4 linked regions of the Arabidopsis thaliana genome follow. The protein of the gene in region 3 interacts with the protein of the main gene of each other region in a pairwise test. Each region holds a gene or a part of one and is shown on either strand. Other genes may lie near its edges. The genes, in order: ENODL9, AT5G19570, G1 and AT5G07475.

Evidence for each region.
Region 1: the proteins of G1 (region 3) and ENODL9 interact in a protein complementation assay, tested with the Arabidopsis thaliana proteins (one large-scale study listed by BioGRID).
Region 2: the proteins of G1 (region 3) and AT5G19570 interact in a protein complementation assay, tested with the Arabidopsis thaliana proteins (one large-scale study listed by BioGRID).
Region 4: the proteins of G1 (region 3) and AT5G07475 interact in a protein complementation assay, tested with the Arabidopsis thaliana proteins (one large-scale study listed by BioGRID).

Annotation. Positions count from the first base shown.
Region 1 is NC_003074.8:7,182,997-7,191,490, forward strand, and holds ENODL9 (early nodulin-like protein 9), read right to left. Parts: upstream 4,526-8,494; 5' UTR 4,458-4,525; coding exon 4,271-4,457; intron 4,183-4,270; coding exon 3,758-4,182; 3' UTR 3,526-3,757; downstream 1-3,525. Other genes in the region: PDIL5-3 (PDI-like 5-3), read left to right, coding at 1-34, 540-724, 822-879, 1,319-1,359, 1,464-1,538, 1,719-1,775, 2,058-2,124, 2,336-2,479 and 4 more; COBL10 (COBRA-like protein 10 precursor), read right to left, coding at 5,067-6,008, 6,095-6,573, 6,823-7,420. UniProt on the Arabidopsis thaliana protein: May act as a carbohydrate transporter. Mainly required for reproductive functions.
Region 2 is NC_003076.8:6,602,288-6,610,735, reverse strand, and holds AT5G19570 (uncharacterized protein), read right to left. Parts: upstream 4,173-8,448; 5' UTR 3,998-4,172; coding exon 3,584-3,997; 3' UTR 3,415-3,583; downstream 1-3,414. Other genes in the region: AT5G19580 (glyoxal oxidase-related protein), read left to right, coding at 1,219-1,677, 1,816-3,141; ROPGEF10 (ROP uanine nucleotide exchange factor 10), read right to left, coding at 4,606-5,010, 5,096-5,422, 5,507-5,779, 6,124-6,198, 6,301-6,455, 6,566-6,682, 7,316-7,502.
Region 3 is NC_003074.8:19,206,182-19,214,851, forward strand, and holds G1 (transmembrane protein G1P-related 1), read right to left. Parts: upstream 4,669-8,670; 5' UTR 4,483-4,668; coding exon 3,712-4,482; 3' UTR 3,334-3,711; downstream 1-3,333. Other genes in the region: BAG4 (BCL-2-associated athanogene 4), read right to left, coding at 848-1,045, 1,134-1,280, 1,358-1,614, 1,790-1,997; ATG2 (metallopeptidase M24 family protein), read right to left, coding at 5,080-5,156, 5,245-5,445, 5,507-5,598, 5,685-5,821, 5,907-6,122, 6,609-6,762, 6,855-7,004, 7,100-7,184 and 1 more; EM1 (Stress induced protein), read left to right, coding at 8,637-8,670. UniProt on the Arabidopsis thaliana protein: Heme-binding chaperone that may be involved in cytochrome c maturation in mitochondria.
Region 4 is NC_003076.8:2,361,800-2,367,306, forward strand, and holds AT5G07475 (Cupredoxin superfamily protein), read right to left. Parts: upstream 3,807-5,507; 5' UTR 3,738-3,806; coding exon 3,560-3,737; intron 3,429-3,559; coding exon 3,028-3,428; 3' UTR 2,907-3,027; downstream 1-2,906. Other genes in the region: PMSR2 (peptidemethionine sulfoxide reductase 2), read right to left, coding at 1-86; PMSR3 (peptidemethionine sulfoxide reductase 3), read right to left, coding at 961-1,212, 2,131-2,487; KUOX1 (KAR-UP oxidoreductase 1), read left to right, coding at 5,368-5,507.

The sequences.
Region 1 (8,494 bases), about 12 Mb from region 3:
TGCATCCGTTGATGTGAGCGATGTCTTGGGAACGGTATGTCTCTCTACTCACAACTCTCAGTCCCACTGTTAGAATGCATTTCTCTATAAATGTTTTGTGATTATCATTCAAAAAGCAATAATGCAAAAGGAAAGGAAAAGCTTAAATCTTGACACTTTCTTCAGTATCAGAGAATGTATCTTTGCTTATGTGATATATGATAGACTATTCGTGTTGGCATGTTGAGTTGGTTGTGCAATGATGATATGGATTTAATCCAATGTTTACTGATTCCATTTTATTAGTAATTGGCGCTATCAAAGCTAGGAAAAACTTAATAATGCTGTCCGGCTGTAATGAAACAAGAATAAAATTGTTTGGAAAGTTTTAATCATGTAGTTGAAATTTCAACCGTATCACCTAATCCCTGAGTCCCCGTTTCAGTTGTGCAGTACATCCTATGTTTTATACTAAAAGCAAGACTGAGCGCCTTTAACGGAGTTATGATATATATACCCTCAGAAAACTAAATCTACTTCTCTGATGTTTAATTTTTCAGAATAGGTTGAATATAACAAAAACAGTTCGCAAGTTTCCAATTGATCCACATTTAAGGTCCACCGGCGCAGAATTCCACTCTGGCCTTGCATTACATAACATAAACCATGGAGAAGAAACTAAGGAAGAGTTTCCTGATGGTGCTATACCATTGACCAGTGCTAGTTTTGAAGCATTATCACATCAGTGAGTAGGCAGCTTCTTCTTTTTTTATTGTGCATGCATAAGAGTCCTGTCTGATGGTTTGAATATCGATTAACAAAAATTGAATTTCTTTATGCAGCTTTCCAATATTGGTTGTTAACTTTAATGCACCATGGTGCTACTGGAGTAATCGTCTGGTAATTACTTATGCTTATAATCTTTCCAATTTTCTGAAGTTTTACTTTTCTTCTGGTATACAAGCACTAATGATCCAGTTGGGGATGTACTCATAATAACTTGTTTTTCCTGCTTGACCGAGTGAGAAAGAATCTTCCTGAATTCGTTATTGACTGTTATTTGTGAATATATTCAATCACGATATGTGGAATCATAGACATGTCATTTTATAGGGAAACTTACTTTCTTCATATTGCCTGTTGTTTTGTGCTAAAGGGGTATAGGGTTTGCTATTTTGTGTTACGAATTCTAGATGACAATAAACTTTTTGTTGAATAATACGCTCATATTATGTAGCTTTTATGGGTATTGTGTACCTCAATTCCTGTTTGACATTGAAAAAGTTGTTCATGTTTGGTTATGATGAGTTTCTTTTGTATTTTCTACTATCTGCTTCAGAAACCTTCATGGGAGAAAGCAGCTAATATAATAAAACAAAGGTTTGTGTTAGAATCTTCGGCATTTTTATTAAGTTGTGATATTCTTAAGCCGCTGGCTGATAATGTTCTTTCTGAAACATCTTCATGTTAATATTCTGCTGCAGATATGATCCTGAAGCTGATGGCCGTGTTCTTCTAGGAAATGTTGATTGCACGGAAGAACCTGCGCTATGTAAGAGGTACTACGAAGTTGATGTTTTCCTCCATTTTCTTGTTTTTCTTATTTGATTAATGAGTCGTTTCCAAGAAGAGAAGAATTTGTGTTTGCACCTTTTTAATTCCTGCTGTTCAAGGATGCAATTCCAAGGGGAGCAGTGAATGTCGTTTGACTTAACATAAATCGTGGAATGTGTTTTCAGGAATCACATACAAGGCTATCCATCTATTCGTATTTTCCGCAAAGGCAGTGACCTTAGGTGAGAAAACATCTGATATGATGTTTCTTAGTTATACACAATTCGTCATTTCTTCTACTTAACCTTATGTATCCATGTGGCGACAAATTCGAGTTTATGTCTCCTAATTGTGTTCTCGGTACAGTCAAATGTTGACACATGTGAAGTCATCACCGTAAATTTGTTCAAAATCTTAAATTTTTGCTTTTCGTCTTTTCCTCTCTAACTTCCTTTAGGTTAATAGACCATATATCTGTTGGTGTAAATAATTTTATGAAAGTGTACCTGTTTCAATGTTTCCAGAGAGGACCATGGACACCACGAACATGAATCTTACTATGGAGATCGGGACACAGACAGTATAGTTAAGGTAGACAAATCCAAATTTCGTTTCAGTATCAGGAATAAATGAGCCAACATTCACATTTATGTGTATGTGGTGTATTAGTCACTTAGTTATTGAAAAACGTCTAGTTTGTCTATGGATTAAATATTATATACATGCACAGCATATCTTTGTGCTACGTTTTGAGTCAACAGAAAGCAGTCTAAAAGTTCATATAAGATTTTCTTTCTTCCAGATGGTGGAGGGACTGGTCGCACCTATCCACCCGGAGACTCACAAGGTGGCTTTGGATGGAAAATCCAATGATACTGTAAAACATCTTAAAAAGGGACCAGTTACAGGAGGTTGTAGAGTTGAAGGTTATGTACGTGTAAAGAAGGTAAACCTCGGACTGAAAAGTGAACACTGAATGAATGTCCTGTAATTGATTTGTGGCATGTACTGAAATTTGTCTTTTGTATGTTTCAGGTTCCAGGAAATCTCGTGATCTCAGCTCATTCAGGAGCTCATTCATTTGATTCTTCTCAAATGAACATGTCGCATGTTGTTTCTCATTTTTCGTTTGGGAGGATGATTTCTCCTAGGCTGCTGACCGATATGAAGCGATTGTTGCCATATCTTGGCCTAAGCCATGACAGGCTGGATGGAAAGGCATTCATAAATCAACATGAGTTTGGTGCCAATGTCACTGTAAGTCCCAGAAACCTTCATAGGAATTTAGAGTCTTGAACAATCGTCAAATTTTCTTTTACTGGCTCTCATCTAACTGTTTTCAACATGCTTTCTACAGATCGAACACTACCTTCAAACAGTCAAAACAGAGGTCATTACAAGAAGATCCGGTCAAGAACATTCACTGATAGAGGAATATGAATACACCGCTCACAGCAGCGTGGCTCAGACTTACTACTTACCCGTTGCGAAGTTTCACTTTGAGCTCTCTCCTATGCAGGTTCAGTCCTCATTTACACAAACAAGAGATTATCTCTCGAAAATGTCACAATATATATACTTTCCTCTTTATAATTACTCCTTGGTTGGTCTGTTTTTGCAGATCTTAATAACCGAAAACCCGAAGTCCTTCTCACACTTCATCACAAATCTGTGTGCCATTATTGGTGGTGTTTTCACGGTTAGTAATTTCTCAGTTACCTTGCGTCTTCATACCCGCATGGATTCAATGGTCATTTCTGATTTTACATGTGGATTTTTTCAGGTTGCCGGAATACTAGATTCGATTTTTCACAATACAGTAAGACTGGTAAAAAAGGTCGAACTTGGGAAAAACATTTGATCGTCCACTGGAGGTTAGAATTTTCCATTAATATATAAAACCATAGAAGAACCTCAGACTGTTTACTTTGAATAGCTGATCTACACAGAAAAACTCAAAAAAAGAGAGAATTTTTGTTTGACACAATCTTAGTTTCTTTATGGTTCTTGTTCTATTAAAATCCGCCTGGTTTTTCTTATCCTTCCATTACTATATACATATGACATCAGTAAAATACACACGAGTAGAACTTTTATTCATATACATGAAAAACAAATGGGGTAAAAAATCAAACAACAAACACCAATTGACACAAACTTGGATGAAGAGGGAAAGGGAAAAGACTCGATACAGAATGAAAAGGGAAGACAAAAGAGAAACTTCTTAGTGTAGGAATAGAGTGGAAGCTAGAGCAGCCCCAAGAAGAGCAGCGACAAATGATAAGGAAGAAGCTGCGCTGTTTGGAGTGTCTTCAGAAGTAGTAGGCGTCGGTGCTGGGGTCATCTCAAAGGTTCCCGAGACAGGTGGAGAAGGAGCGGATTCTCCTGAGGGAGCTGGGGCTGGGGACGGCGGTGATGATGCGGTGTTTTTGTTGCCGCTTCTATCAGCCATGACGATGACCACAAGCTTCTCGTTTTTCTTGCAGTTGTCTTTGTTTCCACTAATGAAATAGTATGGCCCAGAGTGGTTCAGCGTGACAGAAGTTTTGCCATCGGCGAATTTAGCGGTTGGTGAGTCCGTGTTGCAGCTGTCGTAAGCGTCTCTTGTGACTTGGAGCACTGAATCTTGGTTTGATTGGTAGACGAACACTGCATTGTATAAATTTGTGTCATATGCGAAGAAACTAAGATTGCAGTTAACGAATCAAATAGTATCAATACAGTGTGAAAAACTTACACAGAGAGTCACCAATTTGGAATCTGCTCTGTTCTGCCCATTGACTGTACACTTGAGAACCAGAAGGGACGGTCCAACCTGTTGCACCACCGACCGTAAACTCTCTAGCGTAGGCTCGGTCAACGATCATAAGAAAACACAAGAGACCAAACCCACAAAGCATCATGCTCTTTAGGTTTCGTGCCATTTCGTAAGCTAAATAACAGAGATTTTAGAAAGGTGAAGGTGAATCTAGTGTGGTATAGGGTTTGATATGAGATGATGAAAGGCAAATGGGTTTATATAAAGGTGATGCTTTTTGATTTTGAGGAAATGTTGCAGAGAAGCTTTTTATTGTCTTTTTTCAAATTCTAAGCAAAGCATAAATGCCAGAAGTGTTTCAGTTTTGGAATCTCATGTGACTTGCTTCTTCTGTCAATGGCTTTTGTTCTTTGCTTCAGAATCTTTGTGTTATATTTTATTATTACTTTTCGGATAAAGATCTTCAAGAACGAAGAGAGATTTCACAAAAACATCAAATCAAAGTACTAAGATCTTCTTCATGCCAAAAAAAAGGCCAACACTAATCTGAGATTTTGGGATTACTAGAGAACAACATACACTTTAATACTTTTATAGACCAAACAAAAGTATTAATACAACATTGTCAATATTTTTCCAACTTAGATCAATCATATAACAATCTGCTCCTTTTGATCCTTCCTCTGTTCAGCAACATCATCAAAACACCAATCTTAAGAATTTGAAGATCAAAAAAACTGATCAAGAATGGTAAGTATAGTTATCTCCTCAGTAATTAATCCATCATTAGTGCAAAAGCCGCGATTGTTGCGAAAACAAAGGACATTGAGACACTGATACCGCGTCTATGCCCTGAGCTCTTCTTAGGGAAATGTTTTGGAAGCGCACATTCTTCTCCATTGAAGAAAAGCTTTGTTGGGAAACCGTCGCCTTCGGGAATATTCAGTCCTTTGATGTTTTTCTTGGTGAAGGAGATGACAGATTGTTGCTTTCCGGGCACGGGAGGGTCTCTTAATGGATTTGTTCCATTAACTTGACCTACAAGATAGTTCATACCAGGCAAGCCTTGGAAGATAACGGTTCGATTGCTTGGTGGAACACGTGTTCCATTAAAGGAGTAAACGTTTTCATATCCTGGACCTGCCTTTCCCATATCAATCGCCACAAACCAATCCTCAAACGCGAAATCTCTCCAATTAAAAACGGTTAACCTTGCGGTCCAACCATTTTTGTAATCCGTGCTAACGTGCCAGTTAATGCTGACTCCGCAGTTATCTGGACAAGGAAGTTTCTTTGGTACTGGCATGTGATTTTGTTTAGCCCAAGCTTTAGCTTTTAAGGTTCGGTTATCGAACGGAACAAGGAGAGCGTCAGGAGGGAGGAGGAGCGGGTTACTGTTAGCATTGCAAGTGTCGGTATCGATGTCATTGCATCCGCAAGCACAAGTGTTGCAAGGAACTGCAGAGTTGTTGTAAAATGCAGAGAAAGAGACACAACATCTTGAGGCTTGGGCTTTAGGCTTGGTTATGTTGCAGACCACTTGCCAGCTGGAGATGGCGTAGGTTACAGCCAGTAGACCGCTAGGATCAGGGAATTGAGACGGGTCAACACGAACCGGTGGCCCGCATTTGTACTGAGGATTGAGAACACCGTCGATTTTCCAATGCTGAGGTGGGTATAGAGCTGTTCTGTTTAGGTCAGGAGGCAACTTGAAAACCTAACAAATTGAGAGAAAACAAAAACTTCAAAACCCGAAGATTTCTACGATCTCATAACATATTTTAAACGAAAGAGATGATTTACCTGCAATTGAAACATAGATCTAGATTTCGAAGGATCCATAATAGGTGGCAAGAGAGTTCCGTTTTTGCAACAGAAAGGTAACTTTCCTGTCATGTTATCTTCCTTCTTCTCAGGAGGCAAATCGGAAATGGCTGGTTTTCTCTGACAATTCATGACCTGGGAGAAATCTAAGTCTTTGTAATACTGTCCAGCTTTGCTATAAAGGCATTCCGATGGATCTTTCTTATGAGTGTAAGCTCCTCGCATAGTGTTTATAAACTCTCCTCGCATCCATTCAAAAGTCAGGTTCCAACGGTCTAACCGCCCGAGAGGATTATCATTGTCGATGGTCACTTGGGCTAAGTAGTTGCTGTCGAATGATTGCAGAACATCGTAGACTATGTTCAGGTCACCGTACCTTCTCGGTGCAAACTTTGTCTTTAGTCCGATCTTGTTCTTGATCTTAGGGTTTCTCTTGCAACACACGTGCATACTACCTCCTGCGCAAGATAACAAAACACACCGTTTTGAATATCACATTCACCACATCTTTTTTATTTTTGTTTGACAATTATATTAGGGAGTGTAAATATTTAATGATTTAACCTAAATTGATTCATAAACTGCAAATGCAAACGCAATTTTTTTTTTACGTTTTGCATTGCGTTCATAATTTCCCTATAAATAATATTTTGATGATAAAAAATATAAATTAGTTGCGTTTGAAACGATTTGAGTATTGATCTAACCTTTTCTTTTAGCGGCGGGACATTCCCAACCATCGTTGGTGAGCTTAATAGTTCTTGGCATGGGCGTGACCGCTTTTGAAACCCCAAAAAGAGTTCCTGTGATCTCGATATTCGCAGATATCTGAGTGAAATCACCGGCTGTTTCAATAGAGGTTTTTAAATCCATGTTTGGCGATCCAACGAACGTGGTTCCATTGCTCGCGTCTAGAGGATAATCTCCGTCCATAGGAGTCGCACCAGTCGCGGAAACGATCAGTTCTTTGTGACGGAACCCTATGAACATTTGCCATCCCTTAAGCTCTTCCCTACCCGCGTTTACAATCATCGCAGTCGATTTAAACGCCCATGATTGGGCGGTTACATTCTTCACGTGCGGGTACTCTCTTTCACGGCTACCAAAGTTGTAGCTCATGAAAATACCGTTACAATGTGCCATCTCCGGCGGTGGCTCAGCTCCTCCTCCTCCATCCTCGCCCGGCATTCCATAATCTTGGCCGTTGGAAAGAAAAAGAATTGATGATAAGAAAATAAATAGACTTAATGAATAGCGTACGTCCCAAGGTATCTTCATCCCCGTTTTAACGTCAATAGCCCTCATCGTTATCAATCTTTTTCTTCTTCCCCACCGCCTTGTGATTACTGGAACCGCAAGGCAGCGAGAGAGAAAAAAAAACTAGGAATCAACCAAGCCTTTTAAACAAAGACGAAGATTGATCAACGAATAAGGTTTAATGTGAAAAATCTGTAAAAAAGTATCAAAATCCAAAAGTTTAATGCAAAGAAACGAAGATGGTTGGAAAAGAAGATGTCTTAATATGAGCCTCTGGTTTAATTTGGTGGTCACGCGGAGAGACATTTAAGAATGTGTGTTAAGGCAATTGCTAATTTTGGACACAAGAGTTTCATATTTGTTGCTTAACTTTTTTTTTTTTTTTTTTTTGAGCAAATTTGTTTCCTAACTAAATAACCACCGCTTCGATTATTTTCGATATGAAACAAACTCTGGTCATAAATTTACTCGGTGGGTTCCAGAATAATTTGGATACTAGTTCTTTGTTTTCAGTTCAGAGTTTTTGAGCTTTCTTGAATAAAGCGAATATGGATGTAGTATTATCAATTTAGTAAATTTTCAGTTTTTTTTTTGTTTTTCTTACATAAATTTTCTTACTGATTTTTATTTTATTTACAGTTTATGTGGTAACAGTTTTTAAAATATTTTATAAGACAAGTTGTTCAATTTACCTGGAAACTTCTAGATTGAATTGGCCAAACAACTTTTACATACATATGACGGATAATTTTGTTCATGATATCAAAAACTAAGATTTAACTTGCGGTATATAGGGAGATAATTTTGATTTCACATAATTTTGATTATATCAATCTGTTTTGATATGTATAATATTGGTAATGTTAACAAAGTAAAATAATGAAGATTAAACCCATATTAAAGTATCTGATCAATGATATTTTAAATTTTTAATTATCTATTTTAAAAAAATCCGCCATATAACTCATTTCGATATAAATATATCTCGTGTTATTAAACTTTCTATTAACTTTAAAATTTGAAAGTTTAAAATTTACTATCAGAAAACTGAAATCGTAAACCATTGATATATTTTTATAAAATTGACGAAGAAGTCAACAAAAATGACATGCATGCTCCATA
Region 2 (8,448 bases), on a different chromosome or scaffold from region 3:
TTTTCTAGAAAGCCATGAAATTAGTGTACATAAATAACTAACTAATGGAGATTACTTGTATTTTCTAAAACCGAAGTATATTACGGAAATCCAGACTAATCTCAAGAGACATGTAAAAACCCGGTATTCTTGTCACTACTGGTGTTTACCGTGGCCAAAAGGTTAACTACAATGATTTTCATAGAGAGTGTTACTCGATCCTCGACTTTGACATGTATGGTGACTTGGTGAGTCCTCGACAAATTCAAGAGACCATTGGAACACACACTATTGGTCACGACTATATTACGAGAAAGATTGAATGTTATGGAGTTAAGGATAATATGTATTTAGAAGTCTTTGATTATGTAAGTTAGATTGTTGTTAGTTTTCAATGCATGGTGTTTTATGTTTACACTATGTTTGATAAAGAAAGTTTATGTTCTTAAACTACAATTACTTTAAGTACAATCTTGTTCACTTTGAAAAATAATAGGGTCCTACACAATTATACGTCACCGCAATTATTTATCTTTATAGACATTGCTGTTTTCAGTTTCATAAAGACTAACACTAGATATATAGTCACTTCCCTCAACAAGGAAAACAATTATCAACGTCGGGACAGATCTACTCTGATGCTTGTTGATGTGCAAGTCCACTGCAGCCAATTAAATGTTAACAATGTCCGTGACATGCATAGTCATTATTGTTAAGTTGGCTCATTTGGGAATGTGTTAATCATCTATTAATTATGTTAGTTGAGAGTTTGTTGCCAATCACGTTTCTTTATTACTTTTCAAAATATGTGTAATATGTATAGTTATGTGTACGTATTATGCAATCCTTTACCCTTTGGATCAGCCCCATGATGGTTTGTAAGGAAATGGTCCTTAACTTTATGACATCAAATTAAGAAATTGTCTGCATGACCACGTCATTGTAAAAAAAAGGGCACGAGAGACAGATACGAAACACCAATGTTTTCTTCTATCACAGAAACTCCACAAATCTATAGGCTGTTTTGGGGAGACGTCTTCTTACCACACATTTAAAAATAGCAATTGCTAATAATAAACGTAAGTGAAATAACAACACCTATAAATCACGCAGAGACAAGAGCTTGTTCTTCAGGCATCACAACAATCAATATAAGCCTGGGATCCAATTTTCTTATTTCCCCAACCAAAACAGGGGAAGAAAAAAAAAGAAAACAAAAAAATCAAAAAAAATTAGAAAATGAAAGCCTCAACAAGAGTCATATGGACAATATCTGTCCTTATGCTCGCTGCTGTGTCCGAGGCCATCTTCCCTCTACCGTTTCTACCGTTCCTCCCTGGGTTCAACAACGGCTTTAGGGACAATGAGGCTGTCAAGGTTGCGAAACCACAGCCTGCAGGAGCAGTTGGTGGAAAAGCCGCAAGAAGGCAGCGTGGCGGCGGTTTAGACGCTCAGACAACCTGGGGTGGTAAGTGGGAGCTCTTCTTGGAAAACTCGGGTGTGTCAGGGATGCATGCGATCCTTATGCCAGTTATCAACAAGGTCCAGTACTATGACGCCACCATTTGGAGAATTTCAAAGATTAAGTTGCCTCCAGGCGTACCATGCCATGTCGTGGACGCTAAGACTAACAAGGTCGATTGTTGGGCTCATTCGATTCTCATGGATGTCAACACCGGCGCCCTTAAGCCTCTAGGGGTATGTTCAAACTCACGACACCATCTTTTTTTTTTTTTTTTGGGCCTAGGCCTAGACACGGGTTATCTTCTTCTCATTAAATAGAATCATATTATACGAACTTGAATTAAATATTTGCATTCACATGTTTCATGATAGCTTTCCACCGATACATGGTGCTCATCCGGAGGTCTGACCGTAAATGGTACATTGGTGAGCACTGGAGGATACGGAGGAGGAGCCAACACCGCGAGGTACCTATCCAGCTGTGAAAACTGCAAGTGGGAAGAATACCCTCAGGCATTGGCCGCGAAGAGATGGTACTCAACGCAAGCAACTCTCCCTGACGGAAAGTTCTTCGTGATTGGTGGAAGAGACGCCTTGAACTACGAATACATTCCTGAGGAGGGACAAAACAACAGGAAGCTCTTTGACTCATTGCTCCTCAGGCAAACAGACGACCCGGAAGAAAACAACCTTTACCCTTTCGTCTGGCTTAACACCGACGGTAACCTCTTCATTTTCGCTAACAACCGATCCATCCTTCTAAGCCCCAAAACAAACCAAGTCATCAAGGAGTTCCCTCAGCTCCCAGGTGGTGCCCGTAACTACCCGGGATCAGGTTCTTCCGCACTCCTCCCCATCCAACTTTACGTGAAAAACCCCAAGGTCATCCCAGCCGAGGTTCTCGTCTGTGGTGGTTCCAAACAAGACGCGTATTACAAGGCTGGTAAAAAAATATACGAACCAGCACTACAAGACTGCGCCAGGATAAGGATCAACAGCGCAAAGCCACGATGGAAGACGGAGATGATGCCAACCCCACGAATCATGAGTGATACTGTCATCCTCCCTAACGGAGACATCCTTCTAGTCAACGGAGCTAAACGTGGTTGTTCAGGCTGGGGATATGGTAAAGACCCTGCCTTTGCTCCCCTCTTGTACAAGCCCCATGCTGCACGTGGCAAGCGTTTCAGACAGCTCAAGCCCACCACCATCCCACGTATGTACCACTCCAGCGCCATCATTCTTCCAGACGGTAAGGTTCTTGTCGGTGGCAGCAACACCAACGACGGTTACAAGTACAACGTTGAGTTCCCAACGGAGCTTCGCGTTGAGAAATTCTCCCCACCTTACCTCGACCCGGCTCTAGCCAACATAAGGCCAAAGATCGTCACCACCGGCACCCCAAAACAGGTCAAATACGGACAATTCTTCAACGTGAAGGTCGACCTTAAAGAAAAGGGAGCAACCAAGGGAAATCTCAAGGTTACCATGTTAGCCCCTGCCTTCACAACACACAGTATCTCAATGAACATGAGGATGCTCATCTTGGGTGTCAATAATGTCAAACCTGCTGGTGCCGGTTACGATATCCAGGCCGTTGCACCACCAAATGGAAACATCGCTCCACCGGGTTACTATCTTATCTTTGCCATCTACAAAGGTGTTCCCAGCACTGGAGAATGGATTCAGGTCGTCTAATGACGATAATTTTTACCCATTTTGTCTTATGACCGTAACATCTTAATATAAAACAATCACATAATATCAGTTTTTTTTTCCTTCTATATATATTGTTTATGCCACCATTAATGGATCCAAATTACTTGTGTTTTCTTTCACTTCTATAAACTTTTCCGTTCATGTAAACCTTTTCGGTGAGTTTTTATGACTAAATTTTGTATTGGAGAAATTCTTTTATTATTACTTTTGGCTCTATTCTTTCTTCACTAGTTCGGTTTTGCGTATAAATCATTCGATGCGTTCATTGCAAGTCACTGTTTGTTTCATTGACTAGTAATGTTAATTACCTTCGATAATATTGCAGAGAGTTAGCTAAAATTCTCAAAAGATGGTACACAAATAGTTCTTTCGCAAAATAGATCTCACAGAAACAGAGTCACGGTTTTACAAAATTCGAATTTCACAGAACACAAAGCCAAATTCCAAATACAATAAAGCTCGTACCTAACAAAGCAAGTCCGATTTGAGTTTCTTCCCCTAAAAGGATCCCAAAAGCGGCGGTTGCGGCAAAGGTTGTGGCGTTAGTCACCGGAACGGCAAGAGAGATGGGAGCGTGACTGAGAAGGGCGAAGAATGTGGCGGAGGCGGAGAGGTTTATGAGGAAAGGAATTGAGTATTGCCAGAAGAGGAGGAGATTGATCCAGTCGCGGAGAGCAATCATGATTTTGCGGCGGATCTGAAGAGGAGGAGAATGAGATTCTGTTGTCGAAGAAGACTTTGTTTTATCCCAGGCAAGAGCGCCACGACGGATCAGAGCATTGGTGGCTCCCCATACGAGCCCTACCGCCACCATCTTATCCATGTCTTCCTTCATCGCCGGTGGCTGATCCCGATTTGCCTTTTCCGTTGTTCTGTGTTTTAACCACTAAATGTTGAGTAAAGGAGATCAAAAAGAAGAATTATTTGGATATCCAGAACCGACCCGAACCCGAAAGGTACCGAACTAAACCCGATCCGAAAAATTTAAAAATCCAAATAACGGACCCGAATACCTGAATAGTCCGGATGGTAAACACAGATCAATGGTATTATCACAAACCACTAAATTACATGTCGTCATCAAATAATGTTTCATTACAATACTACTACACTACTAGTCATTATCAATGAGCTTCAAAATCCATTAGGAAACAATGTTGTAGATTAGACGTTACAATACAAAACACCAAAGAACAAAAATACCAAAATATTGTTACACACTGAATCACACTTCCTTCTTAGAAAAAACAACAGGAAGCAATAGTCAAAACAAGCAACAATCATGATCAAACACCAAGTCTCATGTCCAAATCCTAAAACCAATGCCTGCATTGTTATATATGTACATTCTCACACACTTTAACCTTCTTCTATTCTCTCTCTCTCACTCTCTTTGTGTTTTTCTTCTTCTATGCCCTGTTCTATTACCTTCTCTTTTCACTATCAGTGTCTGTCACTAGGGCTTCTCATGTTCTCTAACTTTGCTAGATATGAAAATTTCTTCGGTAGAGCTCTTGGAGACTTCATCATGGGCTTCTCCTTCTCCTGCTCAACTTTGTGGAAGAATTCTATATCACTCATTGAACTATGCTTCTTAGTATCAGATGACAATCTCCACCCTATGAAGTCTGATAGTTTCCTCGAGTTTGGTGTTTCCGCTGCAACCACCTTTTCAGTTTCCTCGTATTCTGATTCTGCCTCGCTTTCTGATCTTGTCTCTGCCTCTCCCATCAACTGTCTTTGAACTAGCCGATCGGCTTCAAGAACATCCTCTATTCTTGACATTATCTTTGAAGCAAGACTCTCTAGTACCCTTGAATAGCTCTCCAAAATCGCCTGTCCAACATCCTGTAAGATCAAATCACAACAAACTCTTACTCAGTCTCACTACATTTTTGTTGATGTTTGTTTAGTCTTTGTTATGTTATGTTACCTTGTTGTTTTTAATCTTGGAGACTTCAAGGGAGGATTGTGGGATCCCAGGAAATTGTTGTTTGAGCATAACCAAAATGGTCTCAGCTCGGACTTCGAAAAGCTCCCTCTTCTCTAAGCTAACAGTGGATCCCCACTGAGATTTCCCGTCTTTCTCTTTCTGGCACATCTTCCTCTTCCAGATCACCATGGAAGCTTCAATCCTGTTCTTTAGATCAAGTACTTTGTGTTCCGTTGACAAATCCAAGAAAGAGACAAAGTAGTCAGGATCAAAGCTCTCCTCTGTTATGCTCTTGTAAAGAAAATCTCCCAAGCTTGTCTTCCCATTCTACATAACCAACAGCCTCATCAGCTTCCTAGCTTAGTGGAAATTGTAAAGAAACAGAACACTTTTGAAGAAGAAGTAAGTAACCTTTGGAAGGGAATCAATGTAGTTTTCAGGAACGTGCATTTCAGACAATACATGAGCATTGATGGCCGTGGCGGCTTTAAGGACTTGAGCCACAGAATCTTTCTGATTCTGCAACCATCTACGTGATTCCTCAGACAAGCCATCTGTTGGAACCTTAACAACTGGTAACCACCAGTTCTCATCCCTCCTCCAATCTCCATTGTGATCTGCATCCTCCATATCTCTTGGCACATACCAAAAGTCTTTCTGATCCTTGAAGTTGTCCAAAGTTTCCTGCCAAATGAGTAATTGCATTAGTATGATAAATGGTCACAACTCATCTATTTTTGTTTGTTATATATATATATCATGATCATTTTATAATACATGCACTCCTATATGAAATTAATTAATGAGATGGTACTCTTGGTGTTATGACGTTTTCAGTTATATTTATCTTTATAATTTGCAAAGATGACTATGACTTGTAGTATATATAGTAGTTTGTCCTAGTGTCATGGATATTGTTGCAAACAAAATATTTTTGAAACGATGTGGTGTTTGATATAATATAATGGTTTAATTTTTCCCAAACGTTGAAACCGCGGTTGAAACAATCAAGTAGTAATTAAACTCACGAGAAGAACCGAGTCAAGTTTGCGTAAAGCTGGAATGTTCGTCAGCAAATCATCTCTTTGTTTTGTAACCATGATCTACAAAGGAGAAAATTAGGGTTAATAAGAAAAATCGTCACTAGTAGACTAGTAGTTGTTATATATGTACGTAATTAATGACTAACAGTTGCATGCATTCACCTCAGTGAATTGGCCATTTTTACCCATTTGTCTAGAAGGAACAAACTGGACAATGTGATCAATCACAGATAATAACCAACCCATTTCTTTCCTCCAATTCTCTTTTGTCTCCGGATACATAGGCTGCAATTTCATCTGCTCTCCAAACATCGAATCTGCATGCCAATACCAAAGCCACATTAATTAGTTTGTGACTTATTTTAACCATTCAAATCGTTATTAGACATTTAATGTTTTAATCATATTAGTAGTGTTAAAGGTTTACCAGCGAGTTTGGTGATGGCGTTTGACAAAGCTAACGCAGAGGTCTCCCCTGTCCCACCGCCTGACATGTCCTCTCCAAGAAGCAGTTTTGCGAATCTTTCCTTCATCACTTCCATGTCTGAAACAGATATCAATACAAAGATTATGTAAGGAATCCAACATAGAATAATATTAATTAAATAGTTATCAAAAATATATAAATATTAGTTAAAGAACTCATCTTTATACAACGATATTGGTAATTCTACTCTTACCAATTGATTTTCAGATCCAACCCATGCATCTTACACAAATGCAATCTAAATGCAATTCATTATGCTATATACAATACATCTAATGAAGATATTAATACATCTAATTCATTGTGGTTTTGGGATAACATTTTATTCGTTTATGTGGTTATCAAATTTAGCAATAATTAATTATTGCGGATCACATAATTTTTTTCCGTGCAATAATATCATTTTCCTGTCTATATATAATTTATAAAATGAGGACTTCTTATTTCGGTCAATATATATAAGCGGGTAATAAATGATTTAGAGATTCTACATTATCATTAATTGGAGCATTAATTAATTATTGGTGCAATGGATATATTTACGAAAATATGAAATGGATATTTTTTAGAAATTCTTTCACCTAAAGTTTTCTTTCTACCATTATATTATCTCGAAATAAAATTTTCATTTCCATTAAATTAAAATTTTGCCATTACCATTTACCAAATAAACTTGCACTAATATGTTACCTGATCTCCTATTTTGCTTGCCTCTACGAGTGGATGGTGCAGCATGTCCGGCGAGTTCGTGCTCGGGTGTATGCATGCCATCCCCACGAGAAGAGAAAGATGAATGTCCAGAGTTCCGACCATCGAACATCTTTCTAAAACTAAAAGATCTTGGCCAGCTTAGTTTACGTCCTAATGTCCGCACCATTCCCAATTTACTCCTCTCAATTTATATCTCTCCACACACTTTTTTATATTTCTCTCTTCTTTTTTCTTGTCTCAGATCGTATTATATAAAAGAAAACAAAGCAAATGAAATCCACAAAATGGAAGAGAAGAAAGCAAAAGAGACGTACAGATCAAGCAACTAGTCCTTTAGCTCTCCCTTGTCTCTGTTCTTTCACCACCGAATGAAACAAAACTACTTTATGTTCTGTACTTTTTTCTTTCCAGTTGTTTTATGTTTTTGTTTTTTAGTTGGTGCAAAATGAATGAAACAGAGAAATGTTGAAGTAGTTTTCTAGGGCTGGAGAGACAACGTGCGGTCCATGTTTTCAAAAAACAAACAAAAGATAAATAGTGGAAGGGCGGTTAAAGATACTCCGACTTTTCCTTAATTTATTTTATCTTTCATTTGTTTAGAATTTTACCTCACGCTGCTCAGGTTTTGATTCACTGGAACAATTTCGTGTAAGAAAATTGTTCGTTATTTGAACTAATCCACATTTCGTTAAATGAGCTTGTAAGAACATTTTCTAAATAAAATATGTCTACAAAAATGTGACTGGCTCAACCGATTAGAAAAATGATGTTTTAGAGTTACCCGCCGGACCGAGTTAGAATCCTATGTGCTATAAACTTGGAGAGGGATAATTTATGTTTTGTGGATCGTTATTGTTTAAGCCTGATCTCGAATTAAGTAAGACTATGGATCAAATATAGCTGGAATTTACAAACTTAATAACTTAAAAAGAGAGACAATCGAATTTTAAAATCAGATTTTGACTAATTCGTTAGTGCAACAGTAGCATGGAGGCATGTAACACGGCGACTCTTTACCAAGTCTAAACATTTCTGTTTATCCTACTAATTTAAAAGATTTGATTTCAATATCTTATAATACTGCTTTAATCGTTTAATCACGTCGTGTAATT
Region 3 (8,670 bases):
CTGACAGAACATAATAAATGGTCGAGAAAATAATAAATAATAATATGTGCTGTTAGATAGCCGGCAAATGGCTTTTGCCACCCACATTGAACGGCGAAGTCATGTCAACACGTTTTACTGTTAATTTTTTTTGTTATATAAATAAATGGTTAAGGAAGTAATCGTAATTAAATCTCTGCTAAGCTATGATTAAGTCTAATCACTGCTGAGTGGATTATTAGTTTATGTGATGGCACAAGAATGTTATTATATAGATTAAATATAATTCCATGGAACATATAATTGAGAATGAAACGTATGGTCATGTGGGTGAGACAGCTAAGAATGTCTTCTAGTTTTTGGGTAAGAATGTATTTTTTATCCAAAAAGCACGGATCGTACTCTTGAAATGAAACTAACCTTAACTTTGCATTATTTGGCTTGTAGTGTGTACTTCTCAGTTTGAGGCAATCTTCCCTCGAAGCTGTAGTTTATAAGGATTGAAACATGTAACAGTAAACATAAATCATTTTTGCAACACTATCGCTATCATCAAATTGAACTTGAGCTCCCGATTACTAGAACATGGAAACACATATGCAAAAGTGTCTCCAAAACTCGTAGCCATAATCTTTAGTACTACGACATAAGCCAATTAGGCACGACAGAGACTGAGAGACATCAAAGACTATTCCCAGGGATTATTCCAACATAACGTACAGAGATGTAGATTTCCGATACTATATATAATATATCTATACATTAGAAGATAAAGACGATGGTCGTTTTCCAATATTTAACAATAATCAAAAAGATAAACAGTTTCAATAAGCATTTTTTTCCAAGGCAACGTAGCAGTACTAAAATGTCAGTCAAATTTCTCCCAATCTTGAGTTACATTGGCCGAAGGCGAAGCTGGCGGAGGAGGGTTCAAGCTTCCGACACCGTTTCCGAACGATTCCCACTCAGTGCTTACAGCTGCAGCTTTGCTCTGATCCACAAACGGATTTGAACATCTTGCCTTCAACTTATCCACAGCCTCCTGCAAGTTTTGGATTCTACGTACCTGCCAACACAAACCACAACTCATATATCTTCCAACTCTATTAACACTCTTACCGTGTAAACATGCTTAACAAAGCAAGAAAACTAACCTCAGCCTTACGCTGTACTTTAGCGTCCCCTTCAGCCTCAATGCCATCCAATTTGAGCAGCTGCCTCATAAGAAGCTCTGCAGCCATGTCAAACTCCCGCACCGCAACTTGCGTCCCTCCATTCACAGCAACTTCTAAAGCAACAACCTAATTACCAAAAAAAACTAGCTTAAGCACAATCCTTCCGTCATCTCCAAAAGAAATACAGGCTTATAAAAACTCACTCTATCCGAGAGCTTATCGACCTCTCCTGTAACCGCGTTAACAGCAGCAATAGCTTTTTCCATCTCTTTAGTTACCACAGGAGGCTGTTGTTCCACTCTCTTATTCGTATCCTCAACAACAACAACAAGCTTAGACGCATCCTTAACACCAGCAGCTTGCAATTGTTCAGCATCATCTCTCTCAACTCCTCTGAACAAGATCTTCAATTCACTAGCTTCCAATCCAGTTTTCTGAACAAGAGCTTTCTTCACATCCCCTAGTTATCACATTCGAGCTTAAACATATCAATCTTCAACTACACTAACACAACTTCAACAAAAACTAAATAGAGCAAGAAAAATTTCATAATGAATCACGCTAAATTCTCTCAGGCTTCGATTATTTGGAATTTTCAGGCGATGGATCAGAAACGGAGCTGAGAGTTTTGTTACCGAAAGTGGCGTGAGCAGAAATATGAAGATCGTGGTGCGATGAGCCATGAGAAACAGTGATTCTGATGGTTTGAGCAAAAGCGGCGGAAGCAGAGTCGGGATCCTGGAGAGGTTTGTGGTCGGAGGAAGCGGCGTCGTCTCTTCGTTGGACGAGCATACCACCAGGTCTCACCTCCCATTCCGATTCTTCGGTTGAATTATGCATCATCGTTTTTCGACAATGAATCGGAGTATGAGATTAAAGTATAAAACCCTTTGGGCCAAAAAAAATTAGGGTTTTCCTTGTCAGGGTATTGATAGACGGATGATGCACACCTCCTCAAAACATACAAATTCTCCTGATAACACACATGTGTTTCAATTGTTATATATTTGTCTTTTTTGGTAATTAGAATTTTTAAGGACTAAATGAACCAAATATTTTCAGAAATTGTAACAATATTTTTTTTCTTCTTAATATAGATGTTTTGGTTTTTCACATATGATGATGATTTGTGAAACGTCAGAAAAAAAAAATCAATAAGTTTAAGATTGCCAAAAATAGGTAACGACTGATTTTGGATCCAGCCAACCGGCCCTGGATGGAATGATTCAGTGTCAATGTATATGTATATAACTCACGCTTTGGCAGGATTTGAGGCAGGATTTGAACAAGCCCAATTTTAGACAGGTCGGCCGAACCGCCACAATGCATATAGTGAGAGATTTAACTTGATATGGTCCCCAACCAAAAGAACTTATAGGCCTAAAATCTGAACTTTCTCTGAACCAAAAAACAAAAACTATCTACGAGGAATATGGAATAATCTAGTTAGTATAGGGCAGCAAGTATAGTAATGGTGATTTGTCCCATATTCAAAATGGACCAAGCACACAATAGCAATCGAATATAGTAGTGACAAATATCGTAATGCTCTTGTTCCATACTTGATAGTCAGTATTTTTGATGACTCAATCATATACCACTCGTTCCATACTTGATAGTCAGTTTTTGTTGACTGAATCATATACCACCCACGATAAATTTGCTATACAATGAGAGACTGATGCATATATAAAGATGCACTTAAAAAAAGCAAAAGCAATAGCGTAACTGCGGAACACTTCAAACTACAGCTACATTAGTAGACTAGTAGTTGGTTATCAACCAACAAGCCTAAGAGAAGTGCCAAAACAGAAGCCAATGCCATGATTCTAGAGGCAAAAACTAGGCACCTAATCGACTCAGAAAGTACAAACTTGAAATCTCCAGGGCCAGAATTGCCTAGTTGAAACATAAGATGCATAAAAGGAATGCATGACCATCTTCAAGATTGTCAACAAGCTCAACCCATATTTATAAAACAACAAAGAAAGAGCTTGGAACCTCCAGAACAACTAAGAGGAAGCTCTGAAAGACCTGTATGTTCAACTCTTTTGGCTATAGTACCTAGTCATGATAAGAATAAGGTCACACAAGCTACAACTTTGGTGATACGTTTACAATTATATACCCACGACCTGATGAAGCTAATAAGATTCACTAGATCAATCTAATCTGTGTGCAGCAACAAAACATAGCTTCTCTAATCTGTGTGCACATCAACAACAAACAAAACATCCAACAACACAATGAATCAAGCAGCATATTTGATCCCTCGTCAAAGTGTTCTTTATTTGATCAACACAACAAGAAAGTAGATTAGCTTATAGCTTTGTGGAATCAAACAAAGCTATTGTATAGTGTATCACATTTCTCCACTTAATTCTCAAATAGACTCAAAAATCAAATCTCTGTTTTCCAGGAATATAACATTCCAATCTTCCTACTCTTTTCCAGAAACTATAATCAAATATAACCTTATAAGATGAACAATACTCACCAAAAGCTCGAACTTGGGGAAAATTTTGATTAACTTAAAAAGAATGAAGTTTATACCAATCTAAGAAGCCGCAACTTCAGCAGCTTGTTCAGTCGCCGCCGCTTCAATAATTTTCTTATTCTTCTCAATCGCCGCCGCAACTTCCTGTGGCATATACTTCTCATCATGCTTAGCCAAAACTTCAGTCGCCGAGAAGAAACAATCGAGGTTCCTAGCTTTCTTCGAAATAGGTTTTGTAGAAACTTCCTTCCTTACTTCATCTGTATACGGCTTAATGAATCCTTCAACCACAACTGAATGACCTTCCCTAAACAGATCCGGCAAAGATCCTTTATACCTAACCAAAATATCAGTGATCAGATCAGTGATCACAAACTCCATCTCCTGTGACGCCGCCGGCTGCGCAACGCTACCTTCTAGAACCAAACCACCGAGTCTGAATTTGTTCTTTGTTGGATTCTCTGCGAATTTCTCCATAGCGTCTGATGGCGTTAGGTAGAAGACAAGCTGATCCTGAAATTGGTTAAGGACGATAACTACGAATCCGGCGATGCAGCTGAAGGTTAGCGCGTAGGTCCATAAACGGCGATTCTGCATCTGACGCGCTTTGGCTCCGATATCGATTTTCTTAGGACGTGTTGGACCGCGACGAGCGATGGAGAGAGATCGGAGGAAGGTTAAGGATGATAATCGCGATGGATCTGGTGAGGCGGTGGTCAATGAGTGAAAAATCGGGCAAGGTGGTGATTCGAATGACGATGAGATTTGAGGATTTCGTTGAATTGATCGGAGGATTTGAGAACTTCGACGGAACAATAACCTAGCTGCCATTTTCCGGGAAGATTGATTTTTCCTCGTGGGAATCAATCAAATTCCCGAGAGCGAGAGGTTTATGGGGTTTTCTGGAAAAATGAAAAAGAAGCCACAAGCCGCCCCACTGAAGAACTATGGACCACGTCAAGAACCCTCTCTGTGGTTTAGAGGGTTCAATCACAATTTCTTAAGTGAAATTCTGATTACTATTCGTTACAATCTCAAAATCAACCAATCCAAAAATCTGTATAAGCTTCGATTATTGAAGAGCTGAGTTTTTTTCTTCTGTCACAAATATTTCTCTTCTGTGGGATCAAATCCTTACCACGTAAACACATTCAAAGAGTAGTTTGTTGGTAACAAGTGTTTCTAAACAGAGTTATTGTTATAGCCTGAAACCAGATAAGTATTTTTGATTAGAGAATGAGATAAGATTAGGACAAGCAAAGAAATGATGATGAAAAGTGCTTTGTGCAAAAATATGCACAAAGGTGGTAAACTATTGTTTGTTTTTTTTTGTTTAAGAAGAGACTCTCTTGAAACCCAAACATACAACGAAAGAGGTACCTCAAGTTTCAAAAATTCTTTAAAAGAAACAAAGACAAATCTTCCTACTCATTCTTGAGCATTACTACTTGCGTCCATTGGCTCAGCCTCTGTTGAAGCCTCTCCTTTCTCTCCCGCCTTTTGGGCTGCAAAACACCAAATTGAACCTTTTTAATCAACATGTGGATCACGTCATATAAGGTAAAAGTCTGGAAATTTATTTTAAGTTCTTACCTTTCTTCTTCTTTCCACCACCTTTCTTCTTCTTGATGCCCAAAGCTAACCACCCTTTGATCTCAGGGTCTTCGATGGTCTTTTTAGGAAGTTCCTGAAGTGTATGTGAAGTGATCCTATCTGATCCATTTGGCATCAGCAAAACTGTGAACTTAATCTGAGCAACAAAATCCCCTGGTAGAAAACCAAAACGACATGAGCCTTGATATCAAGATTCAGATAAAAGAGGTTTATAGATTCAAAACCCTTTCATCATCCTTACCAGGCTTCTCGTAAAGAACAGGATATGGTTGCAAATGACCATGGTTCACACACTCCACAAGTCCAAGCCGTGCCCTTTTCTCCTCCAGTGACCTGTATTGATAATACTCTCAGGTAACGTTAGCAAGTGAGATAATAGTTTAAGGAATATAAAATGCTTCAGAAGGTACAAAAGACACCTTGCAGTGAATGGCATACGGGGGAAGTTCTGTTTAATTTCGCTGATTATGAATCTGGAGGCCTTCATCTTCAACTGATAGTTAACACTTTCATCTTTCTTGTAAATAGTTGTTTGCTTCTCGTCTAATAGCTTTGGCTGCAAAGTCAAAGATTGTGAGAACAATGGCAATAGACAAAGGTTCACCAATAGTGATCGGGATGCGATAAACAAAAGAAATTACCTTGCCATCACCAGTACTTGCCACAATATCTATTGCATAGACTTCATTCTCTTCAAATTCCACTTCGTCAACAGTTGTTTCAGGGCTGGATACACTAAGCACAACCTTGTTTCCATCTATCACATGCTGTTTCAGCTGGTGGGAAAGAACACCTTCAACAATTTTGCAGTCATAAGCTGCAGCTACCTTCTGAATAGCTTCAGTTACATCAGTGTTCTGCGATAAGAAAAACAGAATATCAATGTCTTGATTGCAATATGTTGTAGTACTAAACAAGAAACTACAAACTCGTAGCAAGAAACTTTATTTTAAAGAACTTTCCCACATCAGAGTAACTACGGCCTCATTTGGATGCGAATCCATAACAATTACGGTCTTCATCCAGAAATCTTTTCCCAAAACAATTTACATTTGAAGTCCGCTAAAAAAAAAAAGCATCGTGCAAGACCAAGAGAGGAAAACCTTAGACAAAGTTCCAACATCTCATAGTAAATCCAACGAGGGATCAGACTAAAAATCAGAATAAGAAAAATCCCATCAGAGTAACTATGACAAAAAAGCATCATATGGATAATAATCCATAGCCATTTATTAAGTGTTCATCATCTGGGTTTTGTAAAACCTTGACAATCATTCAAGAGGCAGTTATAGTACCAAAAGCCTATAGTTTCAAGTTTAATGTAAGAGTAAAACTGATGATACCTTTTTTCCAGGACGTACGAGCCTTAGAGCAACATCAGCTGCAGTATTTGCGGCAGCGATAACATCAGCCTTACGCCCACTAAGAGGCCCTTCTTGAAGAACATGTGTGTGACCAACAAGGGCAATGAACCCATCAATATGACATCCCATATCGCTGCAATTGAGAAACGCAAAACAACATCAGAAATAACACAGGTGAATCATACAGAAACATCTAAAAACAGGTATTACTTGAAGACAACTTACATTTTAACCATGTCACCATCTTCCAACACAGACTCATCACTAGCAAGCGGTGAAAAATGACCAACAGTGTTGTTCACAGAAATGCATGTAGGGAACGCAACACCTCTCTCAATCTTCTTCTTAGAATTCTTGTACATGCTTGCTGTTTGCCTTTAATACAAAAACAGAAGAAAGAACAAACACATAAATATCTAAGAGTAATCCAAGGTCGAATCTACATTAAGAACAAATTGAGATATACTCACTCTTTAATAAAAGAGTCTCCTTTCTCACAGATATCAACAATCTTAGCTTTTGGTTTGCATTCAGCTAAAACAACCTGTAACGCCTCTGCAATTGAAAACCCAACAGAAATCAATACTCGATAAAGCTACACCTTCAAAACCCTAAATCCAAATCGGACTTAAAACAAGAAAGGAAGAAAGAGAGGGTGTATTACTGTTAACGATCTCAGCGGCGCTCTTGTACTTGGTGACGACTTCAGGAGAGGTAAGACTCAGCTCCTTCTCGTCTCTCTCATCGTCCGAACTCATCTCTGATAACTCTCGAGAATCGAAACAGGGGAAGCAAAAATGTTAGGGTTTAAGGAGGAGCGATTGGGGGAAAACTGGTGGAGAAGGAGAGAAATGAAAGTGTTGGCTCAAATAAAGGTACTAGGGTTTTCGCTATGTGTGCTCTCTTCTTCTAACGATGCCGTTTTGGATTAATCCTGTAACGCTTTTTCTTAATTGCGTTACTTTTGTACTCCAGTATGGGCCGAAGAAGGGAAGCTGTTTCAGAATTGTGGCCACTAAACATTTACCCTTAACCGGGCCCATATAAGCCCACGTCAAGTGGCGCTTATACGCTCTCCGTAAGAGAGCCAACATTTGGTATGTAATGTTGCAAATTATTCTTCAAGACAATAAATTCAAATATAATTCAATATTGTCCAAATATAGTGATGTACTTCAGTTGTGCACATAGAAACTCCACTAAACCAACTTTTAGATAGATGCATTCACAAATTTTCAACAATGTCGCGAAAGTCTAATCCACACCAGATTCTAACATTTTAATTATTATATTTAACTATACATACTCTAATCAGCATGAGTCAAACGTGTACAATAGCCCAAGCATATAATAAGACCAAAGTCAAACTCAAATAAATGTCTCCAAACTCAAAACTTGAAAAAGACCTAATTATTACATGGTAGATATGACTTTGTCGACAAGTAAACCAACTAATCCTCGAAGCTACCTTCTCTTCCCAGTTATTATGTGTGATCGATTTATAAATCTCTTCTTCTAATAACACCTATATTTTTCTTATGATGTGAATAAATATAAAACTTTTAACTTTAAAACATATTTATCCGAAATATTGCACTTAGATTTCAAATAGATAAATAATAGTACTATCTAACTGATATTGAAAAGACCTAACACGGAAAACAGTTTTATAAAAAATCCCAAATGTGGGTAATTATCTTGATTTCTTGGGGGAAACAGAAAATGGATTAAGATTAATCGGAGTCGTGTCAAGCAGCTCGTTAATAACTGTAGCAAGTTGACTGAGTAAGCATCAACGTGTCATCTCCGTAAAGCCCATTATTTCTAGTCTCGCCGCGTCTTCTCTTCCACGTAGCACTTCACTTTTTCTCTCCTTTTGTTTCCTTTGGAACACAAACGTTTCTATTTATAGGAATAATTACGTCGTCCGTATCTGTGTCGGAACATAGATCCAAATTAAAAGCAACTTACTTAATTACATATCGTTCGTGTTTTTTTCTTCAAAAAATGGCGTCAAAGCAACTGAGCAGAGAAGAGCTTG
Region 4 (5,507 bases), on a different chromosome or scaffold from region 3:
TCAGCTACTTGAGGAGGCTCCTGAGCTACCGGAGAAGGAGAAGTTTCCACTACTTGAGGTTCCTGAGTTTTCAGAGAAGAATCCATTGTTAAGTGTATTGTTTGATGATGAGACCTCGGGAAGCTCGTTTATATATATAAAGAAGCTAGTCAGAGATTAACACCTAAAAATCATCGCTAAATAGGAATATTCATATTTCAATGTAAGTAGTATTTGACACACAAGAAAAATACATTCAATCAATACTATGTGTAGCATTTATAATTTGGTCAAATTGTTAATGAATAATGGATATATTACGCGTCATTTCTTTTATTGTATATAGAAATACTGTATCAACTATCTATTTAAAAAAAAAATCCAACAACCATCATTATAATTTGGAAACATAATTCAAAAAAATTGGTTGGTCTGAAATTATTTAGATCAATTCGTATTTGAGAAAGACAATCTATAGATTGGTCAGATATAATATTGATCAAAACTTGGAAAACATGTGTTTATGAAATGACTTTTGATACCGTTCACATTTTTTTTGGGTCAATTACTCAACTAGCTAGTTCTAAGCTCTATTATATGAACTATGAAGGATGACTTAATAATAAACAATCATGCAAGTATGCAACTTGTAGGTTGGTGGGCACGTTTGTTTATGCAATCAAAACTAGAGAATCATTACTCTAATAAAGGAATGGCCCTCCAACACTCTTTTTTTTTTTTTTTTTCGTTGGCTACATTTACCATGTTGATGGCTTTTTAGATCTAGTAAGGATCGCAATGATTATTTGGTTTATGTTTATAGAGTATAACATCAATATTACAACATTGCGAATGAAATTCCAAAGAAGTAGTTACATAGCGTGTGAACAACTTAGTCAAGTTTTACACAATCTATTTGACACACAAGTCCTTTGATGCTAAGTCCTCTGTTTTCGGAGAGGGACAGAGGAAAGCAGCTTATTAGCCGTAACAGCGGATTGGGTCGTTGCAGCCTTTGGCAGTGGATTGCCCTTGGCCAAACCGCCCACCTTTTGACAGATACTGTTGATGATGCTCTTCAGCTCTGTAGAATTTCTTAGCTGGCAAGATTTCAGTCATGATCTTTCTCTCCATTTGTTGCTGGTGACGTTCAAGTGACTCACGGGCTAGTTTCTCCTGCTCGGGTGTGTAGAAGTATATTCCAGATCTGTATTGGGTTCCCACGTCATTTCCCTGATCACAGCAAAGTCATAAATCAAAGTATCAATTTAGCATGGAAGTAGGCTGCCGAGAAAACTGAGTACTTAAACTAAAATTATGATAGTAAACACAGAGAATTCAAACTCATGAGATAAACAGTCATAAGACTGGTCAGTATATGCTATTGAAAGTCAGAGAAGATGCAAATGTAAATTGTCGGAAAAAAGCATAAATAGGATTTTTTTTCATCATAATACACAAGGTTAACATCATCGAGATAGTTGTCCCGAGTTTGCAACAACAGAAATTGCTAAAACCATATAACCTAAACAGACCGCTTACGATTTGGTTTCGTACATGCGTAGAATTTGAGAATACTTCGCTATGAACCCCAACGAGATAATTTGACTATAAGCTAGTGAATTTCTCAAACAAAACTAGCAGAAACTTGCATATGATTATAGTTCTCTGCGCACAGATGCAAGACAAATGATAAGCCAAACTAACATCAATATAAACAAACATGAAATCCAATGCTAATCAATGATCATGAACAGAACAAGAAGAACCTCTCTGAAATCCGTATCTCTACCTCAATTAAAAAGGGAGCAACAGGGGAGAGATTACAGAGCTACTACATAATCTGGATCATACTAAGATCAACGACCAAAGTTACCAACTCAAGCCTCATAATTCAACAAAAATCAAGATTCAATATCATTTCCTTCCTCATATTCTACTTAGATGATCAAGGTTCCAAATTTAAAAAGTTTCAAAGTAAAGACTGGTGATGAAAATCAGAAAGCTATCAGATTTGAGAAAAATCAAGAAATCCCCAAAGCACAACAGACTCAGGCACATCCCAATAGATTCAATAATCCTAAAGACAGAATCTTTCTCAATCCCCGAACTTGAAAGGTTAAAACTTTCAACTCTTGGATCCAAAAATACCTGGCGATTCAAAGTGGTGGGATCATGCCTAGACCAGAACAAATCAAGCAGAGACTCATAGGTGCAATCGTTAAGATCATATTGAACCCTAACAACCTCCGAATGGCCTGTGGTACCAGAACAAACATCTCCGTATGAAGGATTGTCTACGGTCCCTTGGGTGTATCCAGCCTCGGTCTGAGTCACCCCTGGGACTCTCTGAAACGCCAGCTCGACACCCCAGAAACATCCAGCTCCGAATTGGGCAAACTGATTCCCCGGCGCCGGTGTGTCATCGTCATTTCCCTGAGCGATCGGAGAAGGATCCATATTGGTTTGCCCACTTGATCCCAAACCCAATCTGTTGAGTATGTTCATTGAGAAATTTCTAAAGAGAGATATGAACAGAGGAGAGGAGAGAGATGCTGCGAAACTCAAGACGTGTCTTCCGGTAACTAGCGTTTGCGTTTTGGTAGCGATCACGATTAGATAGTGATAACCACAACTTTTAATCGCAGTGAATCATCTGTGATATAGATACGGTCAAACGGTGAATTTACTACACCGAACCAGATAAAATTACCTAAAATATAAACCGATATCGGTTATTTTTTGAATTTTCCGCTATCGAATCGAACAAATACAAATTCAATGTAGTCAAAGAATCTAATTCCTTTTTTTTTATTATACATTGATTGATTAATAACTTTAAGCATAACGTTGTTTACATGTCATTTTTGTAAGAAATTTGCTGAGCAAACAAAACGAAATTTGTATAACGAACCAAAAATTTAGGTTTTAATTTGGTCATGAACTCAAACAAAAATAAAGAAATTCAACAAATAAATACTCTCACTCATTATAGGGCAAATATGAATACACATATACATGAAAACACTTATTATAGATAGTTTTTAATCAGCAAAACCATATGAATGGAAAAGCAAAAACCATAAAATATACAAAAATTCCCATGGTACCCCTCCAACCGCTGTCGCCAACAAAACGGGCGGCTGAGCTAGCGACTCCGGTCGCAGGGTTATTCTTTTTAGAAGATGGTTGAAGAATCCCTGAAGTGGCGGCTTGGGGAGATCCCACGGGAGCCTGAGATGGGCCATTGCCTTCAACATTGACTAGTAACCTCATACCGGCGAAGCAATGGAGCCTATTACCGCATACAAAGAACCGGTTTCCCGGTTTGGAAAGAGCAACGGTCGTGTTCCCGTTTGTGAACGTCCGGATCGCATCTGTTGTGTTGCAATTTTGGTAGTTGTCTTTAGCCACTTCGTATACACTATGCGTCGATGAGTATTGGAACACTTGCAAAAACATTATACACATAATTAATTAGACTAATTAGTTCATTAAGGGAAACTGTAAATTAATTTGAGTTTTTAATTATGTAGTATATATATAGTTGGATGAAGCCAACATGATCAAAGATACTTACTTAGAACATCACCAGGAGAGAATCGCTTGCCTGAAGTCCAAGACTCGAGATCGGAGCTTATGTCCCAACCGGAGCTGTCTCCTACAAAGTATGTCGTTGCGTTACATCTTCTTATTACTACAACCCCAAATATGATGCAGAGATTGAAAAGAAATTGTATCTTCGACGTCTTCTTCATAGTGCACGCTGTTTGTATTTTCTCAATAAATTGCGTTTAATTTTCTTGTATTGCTATAGTTGTCTATATGCATATGTGTGAATGGAATTATGGAAATATATATGTTTTTATATAAGGCATAGGTTAAGGTTGCTCATTGGTGGATAACCTAACTTCACAACCACCACAACATATATGATCTGCTTTGTTCCCTATAGCCTTTTTTTTGTTCTTAACAAATTTTTCGTGTTTCACAATTCATATGATTCATATGCTGTTAGTTAAAGTCCACAACCCTAAAATGGTTAAATCTTGATGGAGATATTGAAGCAGTAATTCATATTTATTTTTTGTTCTTGATTGCACAACATACAAATATAGGGAAGATTTTAATGGCCAGTAAATAATGCTTGTATTTATATATGATCTTGTGGAATGGTGATATTAGTTGTTATGTACTTTTCCTTTTCTCGAAAATACTTGCAGAGGGCTTGGAATTGGCATTGAAGGGGTGTTGAACCATAACTCCTCGACTAATCCTGAGTGTTTCTCTTTACCAAACCTACCTAATAATATGCGTCCAGAGAATTTCCCTTGTAACACTTTTTATAGTTGTTGGAGCATCAGAACTAGAACATGTATGATCGAAAAATTATACTAGATATATGGTTTAGCCTTTTGGGATAAAAAGTTAAAATATAGTCGAATTTTTAAAACATGTACAAGAAAACAATTCTTTTTGTCCTAAAATATAATTTCTAGGATGAACATTTTGTTTGCAACTTTTATTTACGTATTACGTATTTATAAATTAACTAATATACCCAACGAAAAATAGTACTAATACTGTATATCACTAGAAGCTAGGTAGTTGTATTTCGATGAAAAATCGATGTAATATTATTTCTTAATTGCTAGTTGTGTTAAATTATGATTGAAAATTCTCATTTTAATGTCAGTGACAATGTGACATCAGACATTTTTTTGTCTTTCCCAAAGGAAGATAAATGCCCATTGCATGAAGGAACCCGGCGCAATACATTTTACCTAGACCTTACGCATGACCGTATATAACAATTTCATTATTATTTTTACAGAATTGTTACAACTCAAACGACATATATATCGAATTTATCTGTACATGCATTCACATATGTGTCCAACATATTTATGAAGGCTTGAAATCCGGACAAGAGGATGCTTTTTTGCGGAAAGCTTCTTTTTGTTTTTTAGTAGTTGGGACTATGAATGAGATCGAAGTCTCCATTTAAAAATTAAATCCATGTTAGTGTTCCTACTTCCTACTATATCCCAACATCTTATTAATATCCCTCGTCATATATGAATTTGGACATTCTTATACATTTCGTACAACATATGGATGTTCATTATATTATCATTTTGATAATAAAGTTTAGTTTCTTATTGGTACACGATAAACAATTGACAGTTACACATGCTCTAGATATTCCAAAAAGGAAGAATAATAATTTAGTATTCGACCGTCATATTTTAATATATAACTCCGAAATATCAATAAACGACTACAAGCCTACAAACCTTATATATAGAGGAGCCACTCACACTTTCATTTTAGTTATCCCTTCACAATATTAACCGATTTCTCAACACTCAAATTCAAATACCAATAATGGAGAAAGGTGAGGATTCAAGCACATTCAAAATGGGGAATTCTGCACAAGAGAGGAGTTTACCGTATGTACCTGACTGTTACGTCGTCCCGCCTTCTAGCAAACCATGTGACTCAAATTCCGGAATCGTACCCACTAT